Linked DNA regions of Alligator mississippiensis. The protein of the gene in region 3 binds, or shares a complex with, the protein of the main gene of each other region. Links are inferred from orthologs where the notes say so. Each region holds a gene or a part of one and is shown on either strand. Other genes may lie near its edges. The genes, in order: DENND1B, ACAP2, RAB35 and RUSC2.

Region 1 (7,158 bases), on a different chromosome or scaffold from region 3:
CAACCATTTTCAAACTGGTTTATATGCACTGAATGACTGTTTTGTTACAGATTTAAACCAGTCTCTGATCACTTAAACCGGTTTATGTGTAACGTCAGTCCCTAGCCTTAGAGACTGGATTCCAGATTTCAAGACTGTTGCATATAAAACACATCATGGATGGTGGTTTAATTTTTTTTAATTTTAGAAGGATTCTGAACTGGAAGGGAAGCTTTCAACTATCAACAGTTATTTAATTATTTTTTCATAATTTCTTTTGCCTTCACTGACTATTAGGCATTATCAATTACGAAAATATGGAATGATACCAAGACTCAGGTCTTATAGGAAAGTATAACAATCACACATCCCACCCACAACACATCATTTTGCAGAACTTTTTAAGGCTGGCCCTATGCAAACTTGGGAGCCAAATTCTGATCTCAGTTATGCCAATATAAACCCAGGGTACTAACAATTTACACAGGTGTTAATGATACAGAATTTGCTCTAGCAAAATCAAAATGAAACTGAAGAGAGTCAAGCTCTTTGCGCTGAAGGAAAGAGTGGACTGTGAATCCACCCTGTAGTGAGAAGAATGTCACCACCTCCCTGCCATGAAAGGACTTAATAAAATTCTAGCCAGCAGTGTTGGTTTAGTCTCTTGGCTCAATTTCCCTGTCCACTTGTTTCTAAGAGAAAGGCATTATACTGTATTTAATTTATTAATCTCTCCTGAAACAATATAAAAAATACAGGATTAGGACTTTACAGTTCCACTTTTTAACTGAACTTAGTCACAAAGGAAGCTCTTGAAAATATATCCACTCCCTTCAGTATACTGCCGTAAAGTCTGTATTTGCACAAAAGTAGGTCTCAATTTACCCTTCACAAACTTATCTACTCTCATAACTGTCAGACTGTCTATCACAACTCCTAAACAGCAGCACACATATTCAGAGTAAATATGAGAGATTTAGCCTCTCATCATGACACTCTGATTAAGGAAGTCCGTAAAAGTATTTCAAAGGCCTGTTTTTACAGAATCAGAGACAAAATGTATTCACACTATTTTATAACTTAGTTTTAGCTAGGTTTATAACCATTTACTTGGCACTTCAAAATAGTTGTGTATCAATTAGTAAGTAACTGTAAACCATTACAAACAACTAACTTCACTGAAATTATTTTATCAACACTCATAACCAGGATAACGCTCATATTTTCTCTAGTGTAGCTATATGCTCTTAAGTTCTCTGAAAGAAGATTCTCTTCAACAGCATATTATAAAAATGTTGTTAGATTCAGAGGATTGTTGATCAACAGCCACCCTATTGATTCACTATATTTTACGTGGTATTTGCACAGTACTTCCTCAGAACCAGAGCTAACTTGACCTGTATGTTTCACAAGTTCAGCAACCAGGGCAAACAACTCCATTGCTGAAAACCAGCCCTATTTATTTGCAGAAGCTACGGAGAGACAAGCAGAAAACTCTGCATGTGAAAAATTATGAGAGTCGCTGCTTTCCTAAACTGGCTAGCAGGGTTTGGGGGATTATAATTATGCTAGGAGCCTAGGCCACTAGCACATTACTAAAACTTCTAGTTTCTTTTTAACTATATTACGGGGGGAGCTTGGGGAGCCTGAACCCCCCCATAAGAGATGACAGCCCCCTGTAAGATTTGAAAATCATAACCTGAGTGAGGGGGCGGTGCGGTCTCTGATTCCATTAGGGCAGGAATCAGCAATGTTTTTGGGCAGAGTGCCAGAAACACCTGCAACCTCAACTTGCAAGATGTTCGCTTGCCAGGGGCAAATGGTGAGGAAGCCACAAAGGGCCCGATCCTTGTTGTGATAGTGCAGCCGTGGCCCCTTCCCTGCCAACTACCCTGAGGCACATGTGCCAACCAAAATGCAGGAGTAGGTATGGGTGCCAGTGTGGCACTCAAAGGCATTAGGGCATGGTGATGGGCAGCCCAATTTTTTTTTTTTTTTTTTTGCAGACCACCCCCCCCAAGAGTCAAGGCATAATTCGAACCCTGCAGGTACATAATCCAGGTACATGGGTGACTGGTGCCTCCTAAATCTCAGGGGGCACCCACAGAAGCCGGTGGCGGTGGCAGAGACAGTGATGGCGAGCACCCACAGAAGCTAGGGTTGGCGTTGGTGGCGGGGATGGGTGAGCACCTGCAGAAGCTGGCAGTGGTGGTTGGGATGGCCCTGTCAAGGGGCGCACATGCCCCCCCTACCAGTCACCTATGTCCAGGTAGAGGGACCTGCTGCTGGTCAGAGTCTGGGTAGCGCCAAGCCAAGTTTGCTCTGGTTCTGACAAAGCAGAAAGTGAGGGGAGGGGGGGCACCCCCAGGAGACCTCGGACCTGGCATCCACAAGGAGCAGGGTGCTGAGGGGCAGAAACCACCCCCTGGCGATGCCCCCCTCTTGCCAGGCAGATTCCCCGGCTGGGCGGGGACACCCCCGTGAGCCCAGGGGCGTGTGTGGCTTGGCCTGGCAATGAAGGGCTTGGCCAGGAGGGGCCATGTTCAGAGGAGGGTGTGAGGCGGGGCGGGCGTCTCCGTGACGAGGGGCAGGGAAGATGCCGGGGGTGGGGCAGCGCCTCGGGGAGAGGGCAGCATCCTCCCGCGGGCCGGGGAACCCCGCGCTGTCAGTACCCCCCTCCCGCGGGCCGGGGCCTAGGCGCCCCCTCCCCCGCCCCCGGTAGCACCGCCGCGCCGGCCCCGCGCTCACTTGATCCTGCTGTCCATGCTCACATCGCGGGCCCCGGCGGCCGCTCCCGCCGCGCCGAGGGGGACGGGGCCCCGCGCCGGGCGGGGGAGGGAGGCGGCGGGAGCTGGGGGGGGTCACGGCGCCGGCTGGCGGCTGCGGCGCGGCGCCGGCTCGGGCCGTCACGGCGGCGGCACCTCCTCCTCCCCCCGCCCCGGCCGCTCAGTTCCTGTTGCCGCGGCTCCGGCACCTCCTGGGAACCAGGAAGCGGCGCGGCGGCCGCAGGAGCTCCTCGGCCCGCGTCACCTGGGCCCGCGGGGCGGGGGCTGCCCGGGCCGGGCCCGCCGGGGTCGCCGGCCTGGCCCGAGCGAGGCGGGGCCCGGCGTGGGAACCTCCCCCCCGCGGCCAGGCACCCGCACCCGGGAACCGGCACAGCAAGGACCCGGCCTTCCCCTGCAGCCCCTTGGCACCGACCCACCTTCCCCCGCCGCCCGCACCTGCTTCAGATCCCTTCGGTTTCTTCCCTCCCCCCTCCAGGGCAAAAACGGAGACAGAGGGGTCCTTTGCAGTAACCCCTTTGCTGCACCAGAGCCAAACCCTTCATCATCAGAGAGAAAACGCTGGGGGAAACGCCTGCGAAGTCACCTTCCAAGAGTGGCCGATATTTTTTATTGTTGGAAAAATTCTTCTTTGCCCCTTTCGGGTATAAATGCCCTGGGCCAGGCTGAGGAAGTCTCTGCAGTTGGTGTGGGCTCTACCAGCTGCAGATGCTTCCTCAGCCCGTGGGTGACTAGTGCTCCTGAGTCGGGGCGGGGCACCTGCCCCCTCAGCAGCCAGTCAGGGACTGTGGGGGGTCCCCCGCAGCTCATCCCATGGACCAGGGAGAGGAGGTCCCCTGTGGCTGATCCCAGCAGTGCTTCTCCTGGCACCCCCACTCCCCAGCTGGCACTAAGGGGGGGCATCAGCTCTTCCACATCCCCCCCAGCCCACCACCTAAGCGGGGAATGCTGCCTGTCAGGGGGTATACATGCACCCCCATGTACCCCCTATACATCGCCACTGCCTCAGCCTGACACAGGGTATTTATACCCAAAAAAGAATTTTTCCAACTATTTGAGCTGGTCTAATAAAATATCATTTACCCAAAGAACCTTGTCTGTCTGTGTCCTTAGGCCAACATGGCTACAACCTATACCCCTGTCTTCAGAGTGACACTTAGTTGGCCGCATTTTGGGGCTTGTGAGACCAGCAGCTAAGGCAAGGACTCAACAGTTAGGCCCCAGCTGCATAAAAAAAAAAAAAATCTTAGGCACAGGCTTAGCTTGACCCACTGTAATTTGTCCAACAGCTGTTGATAAGAATCCAAAATCCACAGAAAAGCCACATTGTTGCATGAGTCCTGGGCAAGCCAAATCATGTTGGTTTATGGGTCTATTTGAGGTGTGTAGTTTGTAGCCATGTTGGTCTAAGGACACAGGCAGACAGCCTGCTAAGAAGTTTTCCAACTATTTGAGTTGGTCTAATAAAAGATGTCGGATTTACTCAAAGAACCTGGGTCTATTCGAATGGCTTAACTTGCAGGGCCCAGCCAGGCCCTCGTAGACTTCATAAACAAAAAGCCCTGAAGGGTGAAAGCAGGCAGAAGGCTGGGCAGTGTGGACAGTGCCACACCACCCTGCCTTCTGCCTAGCTTCAGACCAACAGAATTTCTACTCCTAGGTTGAAAGTGTATGAGAAAGAGCGCAAGTGAGGAAACAGAAAATGCATTAATCCTGCCAGCATTTAGGCATGTGAATAGCTCCGCTGCAGTCAAATCAACTACTTACATATAAAGTACATATATGTCCGTGTGGACAGTTTCAATATTAGTTGCTAAGAAACCGATTCTTGTTGGACATGTGTAAAGGAATAATTTGAGTCAAGGTCTTTCGCTGGGCTATATTTAGCCCTACTGCAAACAGATGCCCCTCAGGTTGATTTCAGTAGGAGCTCTCATGCCAGGGTTAAATTTGGTCCATTAAGTTTACAGATAGGAGTGCAGTGACAGGACAGTTAAAGTGTCCACTACAGCTCCAGAGGTGAGAGAGTTCAAGCCCCAGTTGATCCAGCTATAAATGGGTATCTGGTCATTTGGCTTGGAAAGGCAACAGGATGGGATGCTTCCTGGTGTGCTGTTAGCGATAGAAACTGATGGACCATAATCACACAAGCTCTACAGGCTGCAAACCAGTAACATAACTAAGGGGGAGGGGGTGGCAACTGGGACAGCAGTGCCAGTAGCTGCCTCTGGGGCTACCATCACAGCAGTGGCTAATCATCATAGTGGCAGTTAGTGCTGCTCAATGCATTACGGCTGCCTTGCAATTGTTCTTCAGTAAACTCAGGAGGTTTGGATTAGTTTGTAAGGACTACAGTCATTTTGGCAACCGTTATATTATATCCTGTATAAATCATCAGACGGACCAAAATAGACAGGTGTATAAAGTGAGCAGGTTTAGATTATTTACCTGGAGATTTTATAACTACTGCATATATTTCATATCACAGTGGGGGGAAAGTAATGCTTTGAGGATTCTAGAAAAGATGATGAATGTTACTGTTGCTTACTGTTCATCTTTCCTTTGTCCCAGGTCCTTAACAAACTGCTTAACAGGGAATCTAATGGAAGAAATTAGCACGCTAAATCCACAAAATATATCAGTAAATACAATCAACATGAGTAGCTTTCCACACAAGAGAAGTCTTACTGACTATGAAATGGAAGAAAAACAAGCACTAGCCTTGAGAAAGCTCCAAGACCCATTCATCTTAAGTGAACTAAACAGCCAGATTCCCTCCCACACCAAGTTTCCTTCACCCTCACCCTCATTCACTGCAATGAAACATTTATAAAACAGAAAGTTTACATTACTGTGCCAAAGCACAAACGTCATTGATTTTGCTGCTCCCTCTGAAATCAATCATAATATCAACACTTGAAGAGAAGAATAAGTGCAAGCCAATTATATATTAAACACATAAAATAGCATCATGGAGGTTGAAAATTCAAATATGCAAAAGCCAAGAAATTACAAATATTAAATATTCTGATGCAATCTCTTCTTGGCCACGTTGCACATCTTATATCTATATGTCTCGCTGTATATAGATTAAGATGCAATAAAACATACAGAATGTGCAACAAGACCAATTCAAAGTTGAAGCAAAAGAATGAACATTGAGTGTTAACTTTCTGCATACTTAATTCTGCATTAATTTTTTGTCACATTTAAGCGGACCTGCAACTCCCACTGAAGTCCATGGAAGATGTTGGGGTTCATCTTATTGTAGAATATTTTCCAACTATCTTTTTTAATTAAAAACACTAATTCAATGTTGCTTTCATTGAGGCTATCCATCCATTGCTGAACTACTTACAAATGAACTTCTCTGAGGGTATCAAGTGAGGTGAAGCAAAAATACTCCCGTAAAATCTGCCAACAAATAAATGTACCTGCTTGAAATGCCAAAATCTGATGCTCCCTTCAGTACACTATGTTTACAAGGCATCATCTAAAATGATCTGTATGTCCAGGGGTCATTTCTTATAAAAGAAATATTTTAGTAGATGAGATTCAAAAAAGGGAGACAAGAAAAAAATAAAGCTATGAAAAAACTTTAATTTGGAGAGAAATTAAAGAGAGTCAACCTTAGAAATGAAACAAACAAAAGATGACATTATAAAATAGAGAATGTAGACTGCGAGCTTCTGTTCTTCCTGTCTTGTAAGGCAAGAAAAAGAGCCTGTGTAAGAAATCAAAGGATGGCAAATTCTAAACACCAATGACTTGGACTCCAAAAGGGATTGGATGTTTATAAGGATTAAAAGAATGTCCAGAATTGTTATAGCTAGTAATAAAAAAAATGTACCCAAAAAGATAAAACCTCATGTTTAGGGTTCGAGTCAATCGCAACGATGGATTTAAATGAAACCTTCATCTTTCCTCTGTGGTGTCTTACACTTTTTCTGAGGTATCTGCTGCTTACTATTTTTGGACTTGATGGACCACAAGTTCACTGTAGCACATATTGATGCAGTGTAGGAATCCCACCTAGCCTGTTGGGTTTATCTGGCTCAAGGATGGGTGGTTCACATATCCTCTGGGCCTCTTGTGGCTTTATTCTTGATTGGGGAAATTATTCCCATTCATGATTCTATAACAGTTTATCACTAAGAGTAAACTAAGTAGATTCTCACAACTGACACAAAGTGTCCCAGTTTTCATGCTTGGAAGAGCGGGGACAGAGTTGGCAATCTTGATACTTAATACCTACATTAAAACTCCAGTTAGATTTAATAAAAAGAGGGCAGTGTTGAGAAAAGTACTGTTATGCCATTCCACCATGGGCCCTATCTGAACCCTTCTTCTCTAAAGGAAAAATAAGACCAAGAGAAAATTCTAGTGCATGTGCAGG
Region 2 (6,855 bases), on a different chromosome or scaffold from region 3:
TGTTACCATCTGAGAAGAAGTAGCTGTCTGAGTAAATCCACATCAGGGCAGTGGAGATGGGGAATGATACGTGCTTGTGTGGCATCAGCTCTTTATGCCACCCAAGTGACTACTGGTGACCTTGTCCCTCTTGGGGTTCGTAACCCAGGCTGTGAAAACCACTGGCTTGTGTCTCCTGATCCAATGCAACTTGCAGTAGCTGATTCTGTAAAATGAAGGCTCTTGGGAGGAATAGCTGGGAGGCTGCCGTGTAACTTGACATACTGTTTACAGGGTGGTTGATAGCCCTGATGGAGAGACATCACTGAACCTCCAGATTACTGTAAACAACAGCCCACTCGAAGGATTTTGACTATGGTGAATGTTCTAGTATTCAAGGTAGTACTTGGTTTTATTATACGGATGAAGTATACTTAAAGCTATGGCTTAGTTTTGGAATACTTTGTATTCTGTCTATTTCTCTTAGTTTTGATCTAAACTTGAGATGTTGCAAAAGTTCATATAATTATATGGACTTGTTTTAATGACTTTCTGTCTACTGTACATGTGAAGTTTGAATAAAAGAATGAAAGTTATTTTACAGTTACTTGGATTCTCATGTGTGAGCTTTCCTGAAACTTAGGGTGTGTAGAATGAATGAAGGGCAGGCACACTTGTCACTGGGAAGCTGTGGTACTTCTGTGGGATATTGCAGTAGACAAGGGTCCGTATGTGAGCTGTGCCAAATGGGTGTAACTGTGTGTTTTCTAGCATCCCTAATTGATGCTTTTCTAAGCTATGTGTTGCCAGATCTTGTGACATTTCTGGTGGTGTTTTCCTTAAAGTCCAACTCTTGGGTGAATAGCTTCAGGGAAGGGAGATGTGAGAATCTGTTTTCCTCTAGACCTCATGGTTGCAGAGGATGTATTGGACAGTAAGGTTTCAAATCAGAAGGCAAGCAGAACCTCATGGCCATGAGTTGAGGGATAACAGAAGAGGCTGACTTGATTTATGAGGGCTTGGGGTCAGCAGAGAGCTTCTCAGATCTGTTTTTGTTGCTTGAAATGGTGGTTGTGCAAGACCCCAATTGAAAGGTCTCTTCTACTTTAATAATATAATAATAAAAAAATACAGCTTGATAAGTGTTGCTTTGGGTCGGATCCTGAGATGCTGAGGCTCCTGCTGGATGTGAGACGATAGATTTGTTGCTTACAGAGGTTGTCACATATTCCATGGGAATAGGTCCTTTCCCATTTCTCTTGACACATGACAGTTTCTAATGCGTGCGTGTGTGCATGTGTGGGGATGACGACAATGTGTGCTGGATTTTTTTATGCTGTGTGTGGTTTCTTCCTTTCATTCGGCAGTTCTTTTTAGATGCCTTTTACCTCATGCACTGCCATGGCCCAAGTAAGAGCCAGATGGTGACATTTTAGGAAGAATACACAAGTGGTAGAGCTGGCTTGCTAGATTTAGAGACTTGTCATAGACAGATCCAGGTGCCAGTACTTGTTTGACTTGGCATAGTTCATTTTTCAGTGTTGACTCTATTCAGCATTGTAAACCCATTCTTTCCAATACTGCGTGTGCCATCTGTTAGTTGAGGACAAACATAGCGAACGCTGTGTAGTAGAGACGGCAGTTTAATACTTTTAGGTTCTGAACCTACATATATTGATTGTCCAGGGTCTCGTTTTCCTCTAAGGTCCTATGGAGAAGCTGCTGTTTGTATCCTTGGGGACTTAAAATAACCCCAAAACAAAAATATATATATAAAAAAAAAAAAAAAAAAAAGGGCCTCTCTCCCCTCTGTGGCAAGTCCATGGACCTTTGGATGACGTGGACATGTGCTTTGGGGAATGTCATGTGCGTGCCCCAGCTTTTAACCGTGAGCAGCTGGTCTGGGGTGTACAAGTCCTGTGATTTGGACTAAGACCTGTTGTGGAGCTCTTCCTGGTGGAGGTAGTATTGTAGTTCAGCTATAGTAATATTAGTGTGAAGCATGGGTTTTTGCTAGACTATCATCTTAATGTCCAAATCATCTTAATGTTGTTATAGAAAAAATTCTGTATGGCATTTTGTGGGTTGTGAGGTTTGCAGTCTGTTTTCTGTAGTTGCTTCATCATTTCACTCACTTTGGGGACGACTTGATGTCCTTTTTTAAAATATGTGTTTTTTAAATTGCTTCAATCTGGAGAGTGGGGTTATTTGGCTTTAGCCATGCTTCCCTTTTATTTTTTTAAAAACGTACAGAGGTAAGTGTTTCTGAACTTGTGCATATTACAGGAGGGAGTGTGGCTGGAAGGAAAGCTATTGACCTCTGCCCTCCTTTTATAACTACTCCTTTTCAAAACAGCCTTCCTTTTCTGGCGTGGAGAGAGAGAGAAATCTTCCCGCAGGAAGAAAACAAGATTCCCCATGTGTTTTTTAACATCCCAGTGCTTGGGCAGGAGCCCAGGTAATACAGCAACATGTGGTGTAAAAACAGACCCTGTCACCACTTCTTACTAATTTTAAAATTGAGTTGTTACTTGTCTGTAACGAAGTTTTTGCATGGAAATATTTTTCTAAACTTGAAGTCCTTTGTAAAAGAACAAACAAAACAACGTTGTCAGTCGCTTGGAAATAGCTTCTGTACATTTTATATTGGACAGTGTCATTTGCAAATAGCATTAACACGTTTCCTTAAGGAACTTTCTTTTGACGTCAGCGCCTTGCCCGTCACGCCATCAACATGTTTTCTCACAGCCCGATCCCCTTGTGAAAGTGCTTGGTCTTTGTGCAAGTTTTGTTTCTCCGATACTGTCCTTCTTTTAACCTGCTTCATCCTAAGCGTTTTACCACACGTTGAATAATTTCACATACTGATCGCTTTCCCACATTTTGAAACCAGTCCTGAAAGTGTGATGCAAAGCAAATAAAGTTGTGCTGTTCCCTGCTCCCGTGCACGGCGGTGTGAAACGTCTGTTCTCTGGGGAATACGGTGCTCGCCGCCGCCGGGAGGGGCACAGCCGGCCGGGGGGTGTCCGCTCCCTCCGCCCTGCAAGCGCGGGACGCGCGCTCTGCTCCTGGCGCTGCCGTGTGCCCGCGGTGCCGCTGCCCTGGCGCGGCCGGGAGCGCAGACCGGGCTCGGGGCAGGCAGCGCGGGTTACGCCGATTTAAAACAAAGGGTTTTGGTTTTTTTTACTTAAAGAACTAATCGAAAACCCCGGTTTTGAGCAGTTCAAATGAAGCCCCACTACTGCGTGCGGAGAGCAGGGGCGTTTCATCAACGGGGGGTGTAACTTTCTGCGGCCCGTGCCCGGCGGGGGAGCGGGAGTCCGCGGGCCCAGGCACGACGGCCAGCGCCCGCCGCCGGCCCCGGGACGGCGGCTTCTAACCCGCCAGGCCCAGATCGGAGCGCTTCCCGGGTGCCGGAGCGGAGCGGAGCAGCGCTGCTGCGGGGAGGGGCAAGCCGGGGCGCGGAGAGCACGCCTCGCTTCTCTGCCATTGGTCTTCTAGTGTCGCTCCAAGAGCGCCGCGCTTGCTGGTTGGGTGCAAGTCTACTCTCTGTATCCCCATTGGGCCGTTTTGCGGTCATTCAGGCTAGAGGGGCGGGACCAGGAAGTGCCGCGCCCTCTCCGCCGTGCTCCCTGGCTGCCTCACCTCTTCCGGTGCGTCTCGGCTCCGGGCGGTGCCGGCAGGAGTCCTTCATCTCCGCCTGGTGATTGGCTGGGTCTTGCCTGCTGCGTTCTTGATTGGATAATCTGCCTGCCACTCCCAGCCATGGGCCGAGCCTGCGGACGGCTCCGCCCCTACCGAGATGCACGCCTGCCGAGCCTCTTTCCGGATTGGCCGGGCGGGCCGCCACTCAGCGGGCGGGGCCTCGGCGAGCGTGGCAGCAACGGGAGCGCAGTGAGCCCCACCCCCGCCCGCCGCTGAGGAGGACGAAGAGGAGGATGAAGATGACTGTGGACTTCGAGGAGTGTCTGAAGGACTCGCCGCGCTTCAGGTGCGGCGCGGGGAGGAGGGGGGTGCCCCGGACCCCTGCCCTCGGCCCGGCTGCGGCGCCTGTCAGCCGGGCTGCGCCCTTCTCCTCAGGGAGGCCCAGGCGCCCCCCGCACCCGCGCGGGGACGCGGCCTGGCCCGCCCCGCCCCGCCCCGCCTCGCCGACCCGCGTCAGGTCGTGGGCAGCGGCCCGTGGCAGCGCTGAGCCCCGCGCGGGGCAGACCCCTCCCGGGGCTGAGCGCGCCGCTGCTCGGGGCGCGCAGGGGTCTCCTTGCCCGCGCCCTCGCACCTCCGCGCCAGCAGGGCCCTGTGTCACCGCCCCGCCCCGCGCTCGCCTCGCCTCGCCTCTCCCGGCGCTGCCCGTGGGGCGGTGGGCGCGCGCGCTGGTGTCCCGGTGCCGTCTCCGTCGCGCTTCGGCCAGACCCCCAGCAAGGCCGGCGCGGCGGTGGAGCCCACCAGCAGCGCGGCCTGGCTCGGAGCCGGATCGTGGCGGGCCGCGGGCTGCTGCGGGGCAGTCGCGTGGCTCACGTCCGTGGAGCCCGCGTGGGGAGAAGCGGGCGCAGCCCAGCGGCAGCGGCTCCGCTCCAGCTTCCCTGCGGCGGGTGAGCCCTGCGGCGCGGCGCGGCGCGGCACGGCACGGCTGAGGCGCGGGGCTTGGCCGTGTCGCGCTGGGCTGTGTTCTCGCCCTGGCCCTCGTGGCGGGGAGGAGGAGGAGTTCAGGGGCGTGGTGGCTCGCAGGCCCTGAGTCACCATCTCCCTGCCCTGCTTCTCCAGGTGTCGCCCAACACTGATGTCCTGGTGCCTGTTTGTACAGCTGTACAGGCTCTTTTCTTGAGTAACGAGCTCTGCAAATCTTAACGTAGCGTGCATCGTTTGCGGAAGCGTCCCTCTCTGACAAAAGTTAGTGTGGTCAAAGGCGTGCGGGTGCGTTAGAAAGCACCGTGTTTGGAAGTAGAGCAGTGGAAAAAACACTGGTCAGACCCGACACGCTCCTTTTCAGCATCCGGTCTCTGCCCCGTGTGACGGGAGACTTGGCAAGAGGGGCTAGGGTCTGACCCAGGCCAGGGCAGTTCTTATGTTCTCCGGGTTCGCAATAGAAAGATTTGAGCAATTGCGGATAACGTGGTGGCAAGCGCTGGTCTCGGAGGAGGAGTTGCCATGGACCTGCAAAGTATCACGTGGAGGGAGAGCTCCTCTGCCGGCCTGTTTTACTGCGTGCGAACCACTTCTGCAAAAATCGTGTGCTGCTACGAGACGGGAAGCACTTGGGGCTCAGTGAGACATGAAGCATCTTCCTTCCTGATCCCCTTTTAAAATGCTGACAGATCGAAGGGCAGACACAGATGCGAGGCACAGTTCTCGCTTGTGTGTACGTCTTACCGCAAATGAAGACGTTGCTTCGAGGAGGGGCCGGATCCGGAGCAGGGCGAGCTGGCTTTGGACAGAGCTCCGCGCAGCAGGGACTTTTGGCAGAGAAGTGCTAGATAAAGAATTATTAAGATCGTGCTTGCGCATGCTGAAAATAAGGGAAGAACCCAACCCAGCTTTTAAACTGTCAAGGATTGGTTGAGCACTTAAAAAAAGTCTTTTTGTAACTATGGGATGATTTCCTTTCTAATATGTGAAACAAGCATAGCATAACAGAGCAGAGAGCCCTTTTGCATTTAAAAAGGAGAAGCAAATGTAGGTGATGTGGAAATCTCTCTCTAAGTGAAATCTTAAGTGTCAAGTCTTGCTAAAAAAATAAAAAGGATTCTGCTGATTTTGTAACATTTAACTGTACCAGCCCATTAGAAAATGTGAGTAGAACGTTTCAAGCTGAAAAATACAGTGGGAAGAAGTTATAGGTGCTTAGGGTCATTTTTATTTTGTTCGCTTCTGTCACTGCTAATGAGAATTGTAGATTCTTGCTGTTTCGAAGGGAATGTCTGTTTCCTGAACTCTGAACTGCAGGACAGATGGTGAGAGAATGAGGGAGAGAAAAAGTATAGAGAAAATGTGTTGCCAATTAGTACCTAAAAGTGAAATAATTTCTTGTCTCTGACTAGTTTGTAGGCATTTCTTTTCCAAAATGACTAGTCAGAATTGTGTTCGTCTAAGCTTAGCTAGTGTGGTCTGGTAAGTCTAGTGTATGTAAAATGGTGACTTCTTGTTGCCTGTGTTTTACAGGTTGATTTTATTTTTAATGTTTTTACATTAGTCTCAACCTGGCATTAAATCTGGCCTACTTGATTGAGTACAACTCGGAGACGCGTCTTTGACTGAAGGAATGCAGGCCCAGCACTGTTGCAGGATACCTCTGTTTAGCTTCTGAACAGATTTCAGTGAATGTTGTGGAACTGTAAGCCTCTAGGAAGGGCACTCTAGGATCACAGGAAAGTAGTGCTGGAACGGACCTCACAAAGTCATCTAGTCCGGCCATCTGCCCCAGACTATAAGCCGAGTAGACATCTAACTTGCTCTTGAAAATGTCCAAGGATGGAGAATCCACCTTTCTCTAGGTACCCATTCTAATATTTGACCATTCTCATAGCCAGAAGTTCCTCCTCGTCTCCAGCCTTAGTTTCCCTTGCTGAATCTTGAGGCGATTGCTCCCAGTCTTCTTCCCTCTGGTCACAGAGAAAAGCTCATCTTCATCCTCCCTGTAATTGTGTTTCAGGTATTTGAAGACTGTTATCAAATCCTCCCTCAGTCTTCTCTTCTCTGAACTAAGTAATCCTGGTTCTTCTAGCCTTTCCTCAAGTTTTGCCTCCGTGGTCCCTAATCATCTTTGTTGCTTTTTCCAATCTGTTCGTATCTTTCTAGAAGTGTGGGGCCCAAAAGTGGATACTGTGCTGGAGCGGGCAGTTCGCCCGTCTTGCTCCCACCCAGCAGCAGTGGTACCTGCTC
Region 3 (7,344 bases):
CAAATGTTGGTCAATGCAGCACACATAAATTGGTACAGTTGTCACAAGGTCAGGAACCACTGTCCTATGAAGATCATCCAAAATATGCTTGCTCCATACCTAGCAAGAAGCAACATGCATTCTATACTGCAGATTTACTCTGAAGTTGAGCCCCTTGCCAAGATGTTTCAATACTTTAAAAGTATTTTAAGCAATGAAAATATGAATAAGGTGCTACGTAATCCGCTGCCACACTGCAGCTTCCCCATTTAAGCATCTTGGATTTGTTTTTTTAAAACAAAAAGGTGTGCATCATAAGAAACTGGTCCCTTCATGTGCATGTATTTGGGATTAGGGCACCCCAGATTGTCACCTCTGTGCACTAGTTTTAGAGAAGCCACTTAACTCCAGTTGGCCAACCTGGTCCTGGTGTTCCTGTTTAGAAGTTACTTTGGCAAGTCAGAGAAACCAGTTTGTTTTATTAACACACTCTGTGCACACTCCTGCAAAGGCTTTGTGCGATGCCAACAGAAAGCTCTTGTAGTTCTCAGTGGCCTTTTCAGATCCCACTAGATGACCTGCAACATCCAACCATCCCATAACCTAAACCCCCCTTGCCCAGAGCTCAAGGCTAGCTCCTTAATGTCCAAAAAAGCCATGCCTGCTTCTGAGGCCTGTAATACAAAGATGACATGAGATTTAATTGTACTGACAACCATGTTCAACCAGCCAAAGGCCAAGCACCTCAACTCCAAGAAGGTGACAGATCACAGACCAGTTAGATTCAACTGATACCCAACATCAATGCATTTTTCTATCCCATGGCTTTTCTTCAGGAATCAATAAAGGATGGAAGCAAAATGCTTCTGGAAACTGGGTTCCCTCTTGGGGTTAAAAAGCAATCACTCAAAATCAATATTTTAGCACCACGGCGAGATGTAACTGTACAAGTCCAGAACTAGACAACTCCAGTTAAACAGGCTTTAACAAAGAGCTGCACTTGATCTGTCTAAGTAACAGTGATGCAGCCCCCAGCAAAAGAAGTGTATAACTTTGGTAAGAGCAGCTTCAGCACTCACTTCACAGCAGAGAAGACAAGCAGGGACAAATATTTTTGTCAGACAGCACCAGTGTAGTAAAGAGGAAGCCAGCTGTAAGCAACACAGAAGAACTCTACGGGCTGCAAATTAACTGAACTTTGCCACGCTGATCTACTTCAGCAGTAAATAATGCCTTGATCCACAATAAGCAAAGAGCTCCTTAAGAAGAAGCCTCCTGAAGGCAGAAAGTTCTGTATGTTCCACTAACAAAGCACTACCCATGACCCACAATGCTCATGTATAGAGAAACCACACTCCCCCGACCCCCACTTCCTATGCAGTTATTTCAAGCTGTGGAGCAGGTCAGTGGAGCATCTTCCACCCATGCAAAAAAAAAAAAAAAAAAAAAAAGTAAGCAACAAGTCTTTGCTGACTGATGTTGGGATCTGCCACAGGACAGTTTCAGCACTGTAACCAGCTTTCAAAACAAACCCAGCTCTAGCTCAATTAGAAAAGTGGAAGCAGGAAAATAAGTCTAGCTATGGATTAGCCATATCAGTAATTCCCACCCCCCACCCCAAGCTTTTTCACCTCCTCCCCCAAAAAAGACTTGATGCAATTCTTGGCAACATAAAAAAAAAAGTTCTGTGGTTGGTTGGTTTGCTTAACTGGCCTGTTTAACAACCCCCAAAACTCAGATTTAAAGCTCTTCAAAATCCTCTCAACTCCACACTAGGGAAAGCTGCTGATGTTTCAACCAATCTAACATCAATGCATTTTTCTATAACTAGCCTTTTCTTTAAGGATCAATAAACAGTGCAAGCAAAACATTTCTCAAAAGAGGGACAAAGCTTTCCCTCTTGGAGTTAAGGAACAAGCACTCAAAAAGCAATACTTTAGCTCCATCCTGAGATTTAACCGTACAAACACAGAGCTGCAGGCATCTATAATACAGCTGCTCGTACTGAACAGAGCTCAGCAATTAGGGGCTTTGCTCAAGTTAAGCAGCAGCTATGAACTGCACTCCAATGTTTGAAGACAAAAACAAAGTCTTTTCTAATACAGATTATTTTCTCTTAAATTGGTCTGAAACTGACCACTAGGCAAAAGAGCCACTGCTTCTACATAAAGTAGGGGTGTCGAGGCCCTTCCCACATCTCCTAAGAAGTGGGTGCTTAAACAGGGCCTTATATGGCCCTATAGCCTTAAACAGGGCTGCTGCTTATGGGCACAGGCAGCCGTTTCTTGACATAAAGCTGCAGAGGTGACCGATCCTGCAATCATGCGATGCTTCATTCGCAGTCGAGCAGACCTGCGCCCTGCATCCACACCTCTGCGAAGAGACGCCGTGGATGTCACCTGCTCAGCCCGTGCCAGTTCCGGCTCCAGGCTGCAGGCGGCAGCGGTGGGGAACGGGGCTGACCGAAGTCCGGACGCAAGGCCAAAGGGCGCTCGCCCCAGGCCCCCGCCCCGGGGCAGCCCGCACGCCTGAGGGCCACCCCGGCCTCTTGCCTCCGGAGGCGTTTCCCGTCCCTTCACGTCGAGTCCCCCGCGCGGGCCGCCCCAAGCACAGGCCCAGGCCAGCCCGGAGCACCAGGCACGGGGCACAAACACGGCCCCGGCGGGGCAAGGCCGGGGATCAGCTCCTGCCCCGGAAGCGGGAGGCCGCCCCTCCGCCCCGGCCACGACTCCCACCCCGCTCCCTCCCTCCCGGCCCCGCCCCGCCCCGCCCCGCCCCGCCCCGGCCCCCCCGGAGCCGCCCGGCCCAGCCCAGCCCGGCCCCCCGCACCGCTGTCGCCGATGATGAGCAGCTTGAAGAGGTGGTCGTAGTCCCGGGCCATGGCCGCGGCGCGGGGCTCTGAGGCGGCGGGGCCCGATCCGCTTCCCGAAGCAGCAGCCGGAACTGACAGCGGCAGCGGCGGCGGCTGCAACACCCCGAGCGGCCGCACAGCACCGCACCGCAACGCGCCTGCGCCCGCGCCTGCGCGGCCTGATTCCGCCGCCGGACACCACCAGCCGCTCGCTGCCCCGGGCGCATGCGCGCGGCCTTACGAGCCCGCCTGCGCATGCGCGCGGGCGGGCGGCGCCCCCCTGCGCTTGCGCACTTGGCGCGCCCGCCGCCCAGCAGCCGGGGCCCGTGCTTGCACCTGGCGCTTCCCAGCGCCGGCTGCTCTGCGAGCGCGCATGCGCAGTGCGGGCGCGGGGCTCCTCGCGGGGCGTGGCGCCCTTGCCGCACCTGGCGGGGGGAGGGGTGGGCCCGGGTCGGGGCCCAGGGCAGCGGCCTCAAGGAAGAGGCTGAGCTGCAGCGTGTGGACGCGGCCCGGTCGTTGCTAAGAGCCGGTTGGAAAAACGTGTGGATGAGATGGTTGCGGCAGGGACTGCCCCAGGCCCGTCCAACCCGGTCGTCCTGTGAACGAGCCCTGCAGCTGCCCGGCTGCCTGCTAGGGCGGCATTGCTGCCCCGAGGGCAGGCCGCACCGAGCCCGGCCGGTGCCCAGACCCCAGGGGCTCCCGAGAGGGGTCACAAGCCTCCGGAGCTGGGGCTAGCGGTCATTCCCAATACCAGGATGCAGCCGCGGGCCCGGCCTCTGCACAGCGCTGCCGCCACGTCTGCACCCCCTTGCTTTCCCGTCTGTACTTGGATCCCCTCGCTGTTAAACACGAGGTCCATCGCTGTGGACGGGACAGTTTTATACATCCTAGAGCCACTGCCACCTTCGTAAGAGAAGCTCACACCTGCTGCTCCAACATTGCCCACTAGGCAGCCGAGATGCCTATGCGCACTCATTACGGGGTGTAGGTCGTAGCCGTGTCGGTCGAAGGACGGGCAGACAGGGTTCTTTGGGTGAATCCAGTTGGAAAAAAATTCCAAGCATCTAAGTTGGCCTCATAAAAGGTAAGATTCACCCAAAGAGCCTTGTAAATACGTGTGTATCGCTCGTTAGCGTTGCAAACAGACTGCACACCCTGATCAGTCTGATTGAACTAGGGCCTGCAGGATCTACTGTTAAAAAGTAGTCCAGGAAGCCTGTTTTAAATTTAGCATGTCGTTTATTTAGGTTTTTCCCCCACCAATTTTTGATTTGTAGGTACATGCTGAAAAGACACAAAAGGAGGCAAAGAAACACTTAAACAGGTGTTCTAGGTACTTGATAAAATTGCAGTCTTGCCAAGTTTTTTTGTAGTTACTTGAGCCAAAATATTGACACAATTATTTCAATAAGCTAAGCAGCTCATTTCTTAATTTAAGCATATGGTTACAATTTATCAGTTCAGGTATATTATTAATACACATTCTTTTTAAAATTGGAATAATTAGCTCTGAAAAATAACATTTACCTGCCAGATTGTTGATATCTGCAGGCTGGCAGAAGGTAGAAAACCTGGCAGACAAGTAGAGTGAAACTCAAAAAATGCTGTGACCCTTTATAATGTGTGAGATATAAAATATAGCTGAATCAGTCTTCTGCTTCACAGACACTGAAGGATTAGAATATATCAAGCTCTGAGGACCTCAGTAGAATAATTTGTCACTGGAACAGCACCTATATAAATCAGATTAATAGTCTCTTCTGTATGAATGACATGTTTATGGGAAATAGCTGTTTCCACTCCTATTTCTCCACAGGCTCACTTGGCAGGGAATAATTTCTTTTATCAAGCCTGCATATGATGGGATTAAGATCGGGAAGGCTTGGGATCTTGTTGCTTTCACAAGTAACGTCTCTTGCATCTTTAATCATCTTTGGAATTATTTCCTTCCCATTTACACAGGATAATTTATATACCAGTTAGACTGCAAAAGGCTAGTGGGGTGATATCACAGGCAGCTGTGCGCTGATGATTTTTGGCTTATAAAATGTGTAAAATATCTCTCTCACCCCACCCTCCCACATCCCCATTCAGCAGTGCGGCCAGTGTTTATGATTTTGATTGTAAGTCTTGCAATTGTTTTATGTTTTAGCCTTCAGTGGGTGCATCTACACATCCATTAATGCGCTTTAGTTAATGTGCATTATAGTGTCTCTGGGTGCCTACACATGAGCATGGAGGCTGCTCCAATGCCCGGGGAATTCCAGTACATTGGAGCAGACTCAGTTAATCAAGTCTGCTGGAGCATGGCAATTGTTGCACTCCAGCAGCCTCCTGGGCCTCACATTTCGGCATCCCCATGCTTAAAAATGGTGGTGGGGGCACTTTATCCAAAGCTCGTCAAACGAGCTTTAGTTCAAGCACCCCTGCCACCATTTTTAAGCACAGGGACACTGATGCACAAGATGCAGCAACACTAATTAGAGTGGCTCTCGGAGCTGGTCTAATTAAAGTGCCACCTCACCAACACTGGAACACATGTAAAACTGCCTTCCATTTTGAGGTACAGCAAAAGCCATGTTATCCAGCACCTTAGAAACCAGCATGCCGGTTGACACTGCAAAAGCAAAACCGGAAGTGCTCACTATGGCATTTCTGGTTTCACCAAGCCTCCATGGCCCAGGGCAAAGCAGCCTGTGCCGGGCCCCCCTCCCTGTCCTCCAGCACACTAATGCCAGGGACGGGCAGCAGCACACCGGATGCGGTGGGAGGGGTGGCAGCCCGAAAAGGCAAAGATGCTGTTTGGGCCTCTCAGGTAACCGGCATATTTGGTTATCCGGCACCCCCCATTCCCCATGGGTGCCCGATAACAGAGCTTTTGCTGTACTAGAAAAATGCACATTAGCCTAGTGTAATGCGCATCAACTAAAGAGCATGCTTTTTTACGTGATGCTTACTGTGCATTAGCCAATTTTAATAAGCATTAGTAAAAAGCAAGGTCATTTACATGATGCTTTAATATGCATTAAAATAGGCTAATGTGCATTACAGTGCATGTGTAAATGTGCCCAGTTATAGAAAAAAGATGAAGACATGACCAGTGTGCATACATCCTAAAGGTGCAAAAAAAACCCCACAAATGAGAAATAAGCCCTCCCCTTTCTTCTTAAAAATCTCATGAGACTTTCTCTCATAATTTTAAATGAATGCTTGAAATCAGTGATTTTCCTACAACATGAACACTTCACAATAGTATCAGTTTAGGAAGTAGTATCGGTTTCATAAAACAAGATTATCTTGAGATCCAAGTATTTGATATTTCCTACTTTCATCTGAATTTCCTGTCTCTTTCATTTAAATTGGATAAAGTCTTTCAAGTTTGAACATTTCTCCAACAAATTTCTTTCGGATCTACATGCAGTTCAACTGCCACTCATTGACAGTAACTTGACAATTCAAAGCTCTTAGTTTAGTCAGTGGTATAAAATGTCTTTCTTCTACTGAAAGGCTTATTTGGAAGACATATAACATGAAAAAAAATTGCTCTCTCTCAAGTTCGCACAGAAGCTACCCACTCATCAGAGTTATTATATATTAGTGTGTAAATATTTTGATAAATCAGAAACATTGACATTGAAATCACAACAGCCAAGTTTAGATTTTTGTATAGTTAAATATTGAAAATTAGCACCTTCTTTCCAAAAGGAGACCAAAACAATTTGTCATGTTAGTTTTAAAGTCAAACTGTCAACCAAATTGCTTTCAATTAGAACATGAATTTTTCACTTGATGCTATTCAAGGTGAAAACTATGTGCAAGTGTCTTTAAGCCACCGGTACTCAAACTTCCGGCCCCACAGACCCAATGTGTGGCACAGATCAGATCCAGCACTGAGTCAGTACACAGGGCCAGTCCATGGATGCAACCGCACACACCAGATGGAGTCATAGAATGAACCCATGTGTCAGCATGATCATCCAGTCCACAGGGCTCCCCGTGGGTCTGGACCATTGGGGGTGGGGGAGCAGTGGCAGTGTTAATTGCCATGGCCCTGGAAGTCATGACTGCCACTATTCCCCCACCAAATTTTTGGACCCATGGGGAACACTGCAGACAAGATGACACAACCTGTGCATGGCTGAGCACCACTGCTTTAAGCACTTAATTTATAATCTTCAGCCTAACATGAATGTTAAAATACCCATACATGATCACATACTAACAGTGGAACTTTAAAAAATGTTATTGTCTTAACACTGCTTTTTGTAAGTGGAAACTACTTTAGGATGCATAAAGAGAGAGAGCATGTGTCCACAAGACCAGTGCCTTTAATTACTGAAATGAACAACCCTTCTTAAAGAGATCTGTCACATTCTGTACCCCTTCCTACCTATCTGCTATAATAAAAGAATCATAATTTCAATATATACAGTGACATACAAAAAACTAGAACTCTTGGTTCCAAAATGATACCTTTTATTAGACCAACTGGAAAATGGCAAGAAAATTGTCCT
Region 4 (7,209 bases), on a different chromosome or scaffold from region 3:
AGGCCGAGGGGCACGGGGGCAATTCTGCTCCTGCCGGCCTGCAAGGGGTTGGAGCGCGTGGTGCAAAGCTGGGTGCGCTCACGAGATCTCCCGTGGTGCCATCCTTTCGTCCCTCGATGCAATACCTTAGAGCACGGCGATGCTCCGGGGGAGGGAGGCTTGGTGTTGGAAACTCTGCCGTCCCCACGGCTTTGCCTCTGCCGTGAGCGATGGCAGGGGGATCCCTGGCCCTGAGATTCAAGCCCTTTGCTCCCGAATGGTTGCATGGCAAGCCTTGGTCTGTGCTGGACCTGAGCACTTTGGAGGGCACGGGGCAGGGGATGACCCCCCCAAGTCAGTCCAGTGTTGGTCCCTGCTATATGGCCCTTGTTCCACGGCAAAGCTCTTCATCCCTGCACCGACCGGAGCAGTGACGTCCAGGTGCAAGGACTTGTCACCTGGGTGTCCCAGCTGACTCTCATGGCAGGGCAGACCCAGCCAGGGTCAAGTACACCTTGCCTTGGGACTCTCACAGGGTGGCACTGGGGCATCGGAGGGCAGAGACTGCCCCGCTGCTGCAGGGCTGGGTTGGGGGCTGCTCCTGTGCAATGCACGGGGTCGGCTTGGTGGTCTTCTGCCCTCGCCTCTCCTGAGCAGCAAGGGCGAGAAGGTGCTCGGGACCAGGAGCAATGCAGTTTCCCCATACCCGCGAGGATCTGCCAGCTCTTTTGGTCTTGCATGCGTGGGTTCATCCACCGTCAGCTGGGAGGATCTCCAGTGCACCAAATCACCAGCCGAAAAAGAGGAGCTGTTGAGCGGTTTGGCTTGCGGTGGGGTCCTGGCTTCAACGGTGACCCTGTGAAGCTGCTCGGGCACTAGCTCCCCTTCGGTTTGGCTCTTGGGGACCCATGTGTGCAGGCAGACGGGCGTGTTGGCGTGGCAGCTTGGAGCGTGGTCACTGTGCCGGCCCGAGCAGCCCCGCGTGTGCCAGTCCCGAGCTGTGATGCACTCCCAGCATCGCATGGTGTTTTGTAGACCTGTTTTTTAACAATAAATCATGACTGATGGGACGAGTAACCCACCTCCCAGCTGTTCGTTGACAAAGGGAGCGGGCTGCAGGGGTCCCCGGGAGGGGCTGGATGGGAGCGGGGTGCTGTAGGGTGCAGGGTCCTGGCCCAAGACCAGCCACCGTGGAGGAAAATGGCAAGAAACCCGGAGCCGTGGGTTCAGACAGGGTTTGAGACTCAGCCCGGCGCACCTGTGGGCTCGTGTTTTACACTGCCGTCATGCCGGGGTTTTCACATCCGTGTGAATTGCGCACGTGTGTGCCCTGCTGTGCTCGGCCACGGCAGCCGTTTGTGCAGGTTTGGAGGAAGAACGGCTTTGCTTTCCAACAGGGCTCCAAGGCCGCTGGTGCAGGGCCTGGGGCCGCCTCTCATCCCTGCCACAGTTCACTGCGTGTCCTTGGTCGTGCCGCTGTGCGGCCATGCCCGTGGGCTGGCCTCCCACACTGAACCCCAGCAGCCACAGCTGGGAACTGTGGTCCAGGTCCTGGCACGAGCCGAATCTTACTGCCCCCAGCTGGCCCAGGACCAGGGGGTGTTGGGGATGGCCCTGGGGCAATAGAGAAGGGCAGGGAGGGGAGCATGGGAACTTGGAGCAGAAGGGGCGTGGCCTTGGGGAAGTGGGTAGGGCCACTCGCAGCCTATCTGTGGCTATGGGGGCCAGGTCTTGCAGATGTTGGATGGTGGGCAGGGCTTGCAGCCAGGCCCCGCCCCTGGGCTGCAACATAAACTGTGGGCTGCAGGGGACCTGGGGTTTGCTCAATGCACCTCGTTACCACTGCATTGCCTGTTGCGCTGCCCACTACACCACACTGCCATTGCGTTTGCCTCCTCGTTGCCTATCGCACTGCCCACGGCACTGCCCCCTGCATTTCCCACTGTACTGCCATTGCATTTCTAGCTGCATTGCCCATTGCACTGCCCTGCAGCTCCAGGGTGCTGCACTGGGGCCCTGCCCCCCACAAGCCTGGACATAGTTTGCCCTTGGCTGGGACCCCCTGCATCCTACCCGGCGTCAGCGGGGCCCCACGCGTGTCCGGGACAGCCCAGGGGAGCTGACGGTTGCGGGGACGATGGCCTGGGAGCCAGAGGCAGGCAGGTGCCACAGAACTGCTCTGCTCCGACGTCTGGTGTCGCGTGAGGAGCGTGTGATCCTGTCCTGCTGCGCGGCTGCCTCGGCGGCGAGGATCGGTTACTGTCTCCTAGAGATGCGGGTCAGGTGTTGCCCCGGGACAGAAGCCGAGGGAATGGGAGCTGCCCGGGCAGGTGCAGGCTTTGCCAGGGCCGGGCGTGACTAACAACCCCGTGGCTTCGAGGAACGCAGGTTCATTATCGATCAGCGGCTGCATAATGTATTTTAAACATGCCCGTTGCCCGTGTTGGCACCTGCATGCATTGCAACTTGAATTATTCAGGGCCCTGCAGCACTGGAGGAAGAGCTGGACCCTCGGAGGACTGCTAGGCTGACTATTCATCCCTCTCGGATCCACCCAGAGCTTGTGGCCCTGTGCCCTCCCGGCTCTCCCGGCGGGGGCCTGTTGCTCCTTTGCAGCCTTGTTTATTCCCGGCTCGGCTGCTGTATTTAAAGCCAGCAATCCCGTCCCGGCTCAGCTCGCTTTGGCAGCCTCCCCACGCTCAGCTCTCCTAGGCTGGCCTTGGCAGGCGGCTCCCCCCTGACCCTCCGCACGAGGGGACCAGGGCTGTGCACGCTCGCTTCCAAATGAGGTCCGGGGACTCTGGTGATACTTGTCTCTCGTCACCAGTGATGCATCCTGGGGTTGCGCTGGCCCTTTCCGTGGCTTCGTCATGTCAGCGGCTCATGGCCCTGACTGTGCAGCTGAGCCATACCCGTGTGGCAATGATTCAAAGCGATAGTCTGCACCTCTGGGTTGCTGAATTGTTGGGCTCGGTGCTTGCAGCCACGGTGCTGCTCCGGCCTCCTCTCCAGCAGAGAAACTCCAAAATCCCATGGAGAGGGGGAGAGGCCGTGGGGGCAAGGCTCTCCAGCCAGGACCTTGCGGGGTTGGTGCAGCAGGAGCATTGGCACAGCCCAGCCCCAGCCCGGGCTGCAGCACCCAGCGCCTCTGTGGGGTGGGGGGTGGGGGGGGTGCTAAAAAAAATCCTGACCTGCAAAACAGCAGCGAGAAGGCAATCTCCTCCAGCTGCAAGTTTCCCTTCCCCTGGCTGGGGGGAGGGCAGAGCTGCCACCCCCCCAAATCCCCCTTCCCCAATGAACTGAGCCCCTCCCGAGCCTTGGTTTTAAGGGCAAGCTCATCTAAAGCACTGGAGGATGCAGGTCTGGTTGTCCAGCGTGGTCCGTGGCTCAGCTTGTGGCCCTGGGGTCAGCGTGTGCCCCTTGCTGTCATGCATGTGCAAGGGGGCTGGGAGCACTGGGATGGACGCTGGCCGGGCAGAGGATTTTCTTCATCCTGTCCTCCTCCCCAGCGCCCGGCCCTGAATCCCCCGTTGGAGTTTGTTGCGTGTACCCTGGCTCATGCAGGGTTGGAGGCCGAGAGACTTGTAGGGCATCTCCAGGGAGGTGGGAGCAAGCGGGGTCCTTCGCCCAAGCCCTTCGACCTGCCCCTGGAGTGAAACGGTCACCTTCGCGGGGCGAAAGCAGGATTTGGGGCTCTGCTCCGGGTGGGAATTGGGGCTGCTCGGCCCCGCGGTGTAATGAGCTGAACCGGCCTCGAGACGGCTGCTTTGGGGCTCTCTCCTCTGCCCGTGTTCGTGCAGCGCCGTGCACGCAGCCACCGGCCCTGCCTCCCATGGGGACGGGTGCCTCCACCCTGCATCTGGAAGGCCCCGGCGGGGTTGCCGGGCCTGCGGCGAGCAGCCTCTTGCACAGCCTGGAGCTGTTTTTAAACCAGACAAATGTTGGGGCTGAGCTCCCTTTTTTTAGCGCATTCCTGCGTCCAGGCCGGCGGCTCCAGGGGCGGGCGTGCGAGCTGGCCCGGGCCTGGGCCCGGGTACTCGCAGGCAGCCGGTCCGCCTGGCAGGCAGGGCTGGCGCGACGTGGCTCGCTGCGCGGCCTGGCTGGGGTGTGCATTGCTGGCGTGCCAGGCCCCAGCCCTTCCCTTCCCGTCCCGTCCCGTCCCGTCCCTTCCGGAGTTTGGGTGGCTCTGGCCGTGGGCGCCTCCCTCTGCATTCCTGCCGGCACGTGTCGTGTCGGGGGCAGAGCTGCGGCTGCCCGGAGATGCTGTCGCTGCGCCGTGGCCCTGTCGGGACCAGGGCGAGGAGTGGCCCCTGAGAGCGTCTGCGCAGGGGTAAGTGGCAGGGGAGGGGCCCCTGGATCCGCAGTGAAGCCAGGGGCTGTGCGTGGGTGCGAATGCCTTGTCCCGGCAGCACCCCCTGCCCCCGCGCTGCTGGCTATATCCCCATTTCACAGGCGGTGAAACTGAGGCACGTAGCGGAGAATCTGCGGGGCCCTTGGAGCATCTGGCTGGTTATTTCCCTGTTTCACAGATGGGGAAAACTGAGGCATGTGGTGGGGAATTTGTGGGCCTCTTGGAGCATCTGGCTGGTGATACGCCCCTTTTGCAGGTGGGGAAAACCAAAGCACGTAGTAGAGCATGTGCGGGTCCCTTATGCCTATTTCACAGCAGGGAAAACTGAGGCCCGTAGCAGCGAATCTGTGGAGCCCTTGGAGCATCTGGCTGGTTATTTCCCCATTTTACAGGTGAGGAAAACTGAGGCATATAGCAGAGACCTGTGGGGCCCTTGGAGTATCCGGTTGATGATATGCCCATTTCACAGGCAGGGAAAACTAAGGAATGTAGGAGGGAATCTATCAGTCCTTTGGCACACCTTGCTGGTGACGTGCCCATTTTACAGGCAGGAAAAGCTGAGGCACGTAGCAGGGACCTGTGGGGGTCGTTGGAGCATCTGGCTGGCTACATGCCCATTTCTCAGTTGGGGAAAAGTGAGGAATGTAGAGGGGAATCTGGGTCCCCCGGGGGTACCTGGCTGGCGATATGCCCATTTTACAAGTGGGTAAAACTGAGGCACGTAGCGGGGGCTCTGCATCTCGGCTGGGTGATTTAGAGGGGCCGGCTCCACGGCCGGGGGCTGCCCCCAGACCCCAGACTGGGATGCAGGGAGCAGGGGATGGGGACAAGGGGTCCCCTGTGCCGGGGCAGGGCACTGCTGAGCTGTCCGCAGCCCCCTCCCCGGGCCGGGCTGGGCCGGGCTCCCGCCTCCCTCTGGCCGCCGGGGCGGAGGCAGCTCCTTGCCGGCTGCAACTCGAGCCGCCTCCTCTGTCCTTCGTCCTCCTCCTCCTCGCCCGCTGCTCGGTGCAGCCAGGCCCGGAGCCGCCCGAGCGGGTCCCGCCGTCCCCGCATCACACCGGGCAGGTAGGAGCTGCCCCTGCCCCTGCCCTGCAGAAGGCGCCCATGTCGGGGTGCTGCGATGGGCAGGGAGGGGCCTAGCCCTAGCCCGGCTCTGTCCAGCCCCCGGGGTGGGGAAGGATGCTGGGCCCCATCCAGCCGGGCACCCAGGGAGGCTTCCCCCCTGGGTGGGGTGGGGTGGGGTGAGGGAAGGGCAGCTGCCCCCCTGCATTAGCCAGGGCCAGCCCCAAATGCAGACCCCCTTCCTCAGCCCCCTCTCCCAGCCCCGGGAGCCGGGTGGGCATCGCTCCGCGGCAGCCAGGCCAGCTCTGGGGTCAGCAGCTGCGCAGTCCGCGCCCCGGGGCGCTATTTCGGGGAATGGCCCTGCCCGGGATTAGTCAGCCCAGTTATGTGATCGGGGTTAAAAATAGCCCGGAGCCCTGCCCCGAGGCTGGCCGGCTTCACGTGGGGGGATGGGACCAGAGCGCCTGTCTAGATCTGCCGGGGCTGAGCAAGGGTCCCCGAGGCGCGTCCTGCCCGCTGCCCTGAGGTGGCAGAGCCCGGCCCCAGCCCCAGCTGCCGCAGCACGCGGTGGGACTCCCGGGGCAGCAGCCTGCCCCCCGGTTCTGTCCAAAACTCCCGCGTAACCGCCATGACTTTAAACGCCCGATGGGACTATCCATCCAAACACGTGGTCCAGGAAGTGAAGGGTTAATATTGTTACGCAGCCCATTCCCTATTGGAGTCTAGCTCCAGCTGGTTCTTCCTTACTGGGGCTACTGGGAGGGGGAGAGTTCAAGGGCAGGGGAAGCAGCTGCTTGCTCAGCCCAGCTCGAAAGGCCGATGTGGGCTGCGGGTCTGGGTGCGAGTTCTCTCCTGTTGTGCACCCCGTGGATTCGTGGCCACAAAGAGCGTGGCCCTGCAGCCTCTGCCTGCGTCTGGGCTGGTCCCTGGCCTTGCTGCCGAGGGGGGTCGGGGGCTCCGGCGGTCTCTGCTTGGCTTGTGTGGAAAACCGCCGGGAGCGGTGACGATGCTGGCCGCGCCGTGGAGGGCTCTGGAAGCTGGCAGGCTCGTGGCTGCTCCTGGCTGGGCTCTGTGCACCCGCCTGGGCGAGGGGCCGATGCTGCTGGTGCAAGCTCTGGGGAATGGGAAGCCGGGGCCTTCCCAGTCCCCCACCTCCTGTGTGTGCTCATGTGTGCGTGCATCCGTGCACCCCACCGGCAACAGCGTGTCCACGGAGGATGCTGGCCCTGCCTGGCCAGGTGCACGGCTGCCGCAGTGCTCCACGCTGGCTCCGTGCTGCTCGGCACCTCCTTGAGTGGTGGAGCCTGCTGGAGGTTTACCTGCCGGAGAGCCCGTTCACCGCCGGCGGGTCTGGCTGAGACCTCGTTGGCGAGCTCGGTGTGGCCTGTTGGAGAGGCAGCGGTTATAAGAGTGCTTAGCCGTGGAAAGGCGTGCTGTTTGGGGAGGTTTTGGGGGGTGAGCTCCATGACCGGGAGCTGGCACGGAGCAAATGCAGGGCCGAAACGAGTGCGGTTGTTCCCCAGGCAGACACGATTCTTTGGGTCAATCTGATATCTTTTATTAACCAGGTCAGAGTTGGAAAAAATTATTTTTGCAAGCTTTTGGGCAGGCTCTGCATCGCTGCGGTCATGGCTGGGCAGCTGTGTCCAGAGCTCTGCTCCGGCTGGGCACGCGTGGGGCCGGGCCTGTTGGTCATGCCGGGACGATGACCCTAGGCCCCCGGGATTTCCAAGCCCCGTCGCGGGCTGGAGGGAAGCTGCGAAGGACACGGCAAGTCATTGCTTGCAGCAGCAGATGATAAAGCAGGCGTGGGGGTG

The links.
Region 1: the proteins of RAB35 (region 3) and DENND1B are in contact, whole or in part, in a crystal structure (PDB 3TW8), measured with the Homo sapiens proteins. The link is inferred for Alligator mississippiensis from reciprocal best matches to the Homo sapiens genes RAB35 and DENND1B. Residues at the interface, in NP_006852.1 of Homo sapiens: Lys10, Leu12, Ser17, Ser36, Tyr37, Ile38, Thr39, Thr40, Ile41, Gly42, Val43, Asp44, Phe45, Gln60, Trp62, Thr64, Ala65, Gly66, Arg69, Phe70, Arg71, Thr72, Ile73, Thr74, Ser75, Thr76, Tyr77, Arg79, Gly80, Thr81; in NP_001182144.1 of Homo sapiens: Met1, Arg4, Glu43, Ser47, Phe51, Val72, Leu73, Thr74, Asp75, Ile76, Glu77, Ser78, His211, Glu212, Arg213, Arg214, Gln242, His243, Ile244, Ile246, Leu249, His252, Leu253, Asp255, Tyr256, Cys258, Ala259, Pro260, Met261, Pro262.
Region 2: the proteins of RAB35 (region 3) and ACAP2 are in contact, whole or in part, in a crystal structure (PDB 6IF3), measured with the Homo sapiens proteins. The link is inferred for Alligator mississippiensis from reciprocal best matches to the Homo sapiens genes RAB35 and ACAP2. Residues at the interface, in NP_006852.1 of Homo sapiens: Arg3, Asp4, Tyr5, Leu8, Ile41, Gly42, Val43, Asp44, Phe45, Ile47, Lys58, Gln60, Trp62, Phe70, Arg71, Thr72, Ile73, Thr76, Arg79; in NP_036419.3 of Homo sapiens: Val715, Ala718, Asn719, Ala720, Asp721, Val723, Thr724, Arg727, Leu728, Arg730, Met731, Glu734, Met735, Ser738, Glu748, Thr749, Gln751, Arg755, Asp756, Gln759, Met760.
Region 4: the proteins of RAB35 (region 3) and RUSC2 are in contact, whole or in part, in a crystal structure (PDB 6IF2), measured with the Homo sapiens proteins. The link is inferred for Alligator mississippiensis from reciprocal best matches to the Homo sapiens genes RAB35 and RUSC2. Residues at the interface, in NP_006852.1 of Homo sapiens: Asp4, Tyr5, Leu8, Phe9, Lys10, Ser22, Leu26, Asp30, Ile38, Thr40, Val43, Asp44, Phe45, Lys46, Ile47, Lys58, Gln60, Trp62, Thr76, Arg79, Gly80, His82; in NP_001129471.2 of Homo sapiens: Val997, Lys998, Asn1001, Asp1005, Val1008, Thr1013, Arg1015, Lys1020, Glu1119, Glu1155, Leu1158, Leu1159, Gln1161, Pro1162, Leu1165, Leu1166.

Annotation. Positions count from the first base shown.
Region 1 is NC_081828.1:66,335,785-66,342,942, forward strand, and holds the start of DENND1B (DENN domain-containing protein 1B), read right to left. Parts: upstream 3,001-7,158; 5' UTR 2,745-3,000; coding exon 2,728-2,744; intron 1-2,727. UniProt on the Homo sapiens protein: Guanine nucleotide exchange factor (GEF) for RAB35 that acts as a regulator of T-cell receptor (TCR) internalization in TH2 cells. Acts by promoting the exchange of GDP to GTP, converting inactive GDP-bound RAB35 into its active GTP-bound form.
Region 2 is NC_081830.1:89,273,467-89,280,321, reverse strand, and holds the start of ACAP2 (arf-GAP with coiled-coil, ANK repeat and PH domain-containing protein 2), read left to right. Parts: upstream 1-3,847; 5' UTR 3,848-3,917; coding exon 3,918-3,970; intron 3,971-6,855. UniProt on the Homo sapiens protein: GTPase-activating protein (GAP) for ADP ribosylation factor 6 (ARF6). Doesn't show GAP activity for RAB35.
Region 3 is NC_081833.1:21,328,318-21,335,661, reverse strand, and holds the start of RAB35 (ras-related protein Rab-35), read right to left. Parts: upstream 3,017-7,344; 5' UTR 2,861-3,016; coding exon 2,809-2,860; intron 2,360-2,808; exon of another isoform or gene 2,345-2,359; coding exon of another isoform or gene 2,332-2,344; intron 1-2,331. UniProt on the Homo sapiens protein: The small GTPases Rab are key regulators of intracellular membrane trafficking, from the formation of transport vesicles to their fusion with membranes.
Region 4 is NC_081826.1:301,427,270-301,434,478, forward strand, and holds the start of RUSC2 (AP-4 complex accessory subunit RUSC2), read left to right. Parts: upstream 1-4,193; 5' UTR 4,194-4,309; intron 4,310-5,269; exon of another isoform or gene 5,270-5,395; intron 5,396-7,209. UniProt on the Homo sapiens protein: Associates with the adapter-like complex 4 (AP-4) and may therefore play a role in vesicular trafficking of proteins at the trans-Golgi network.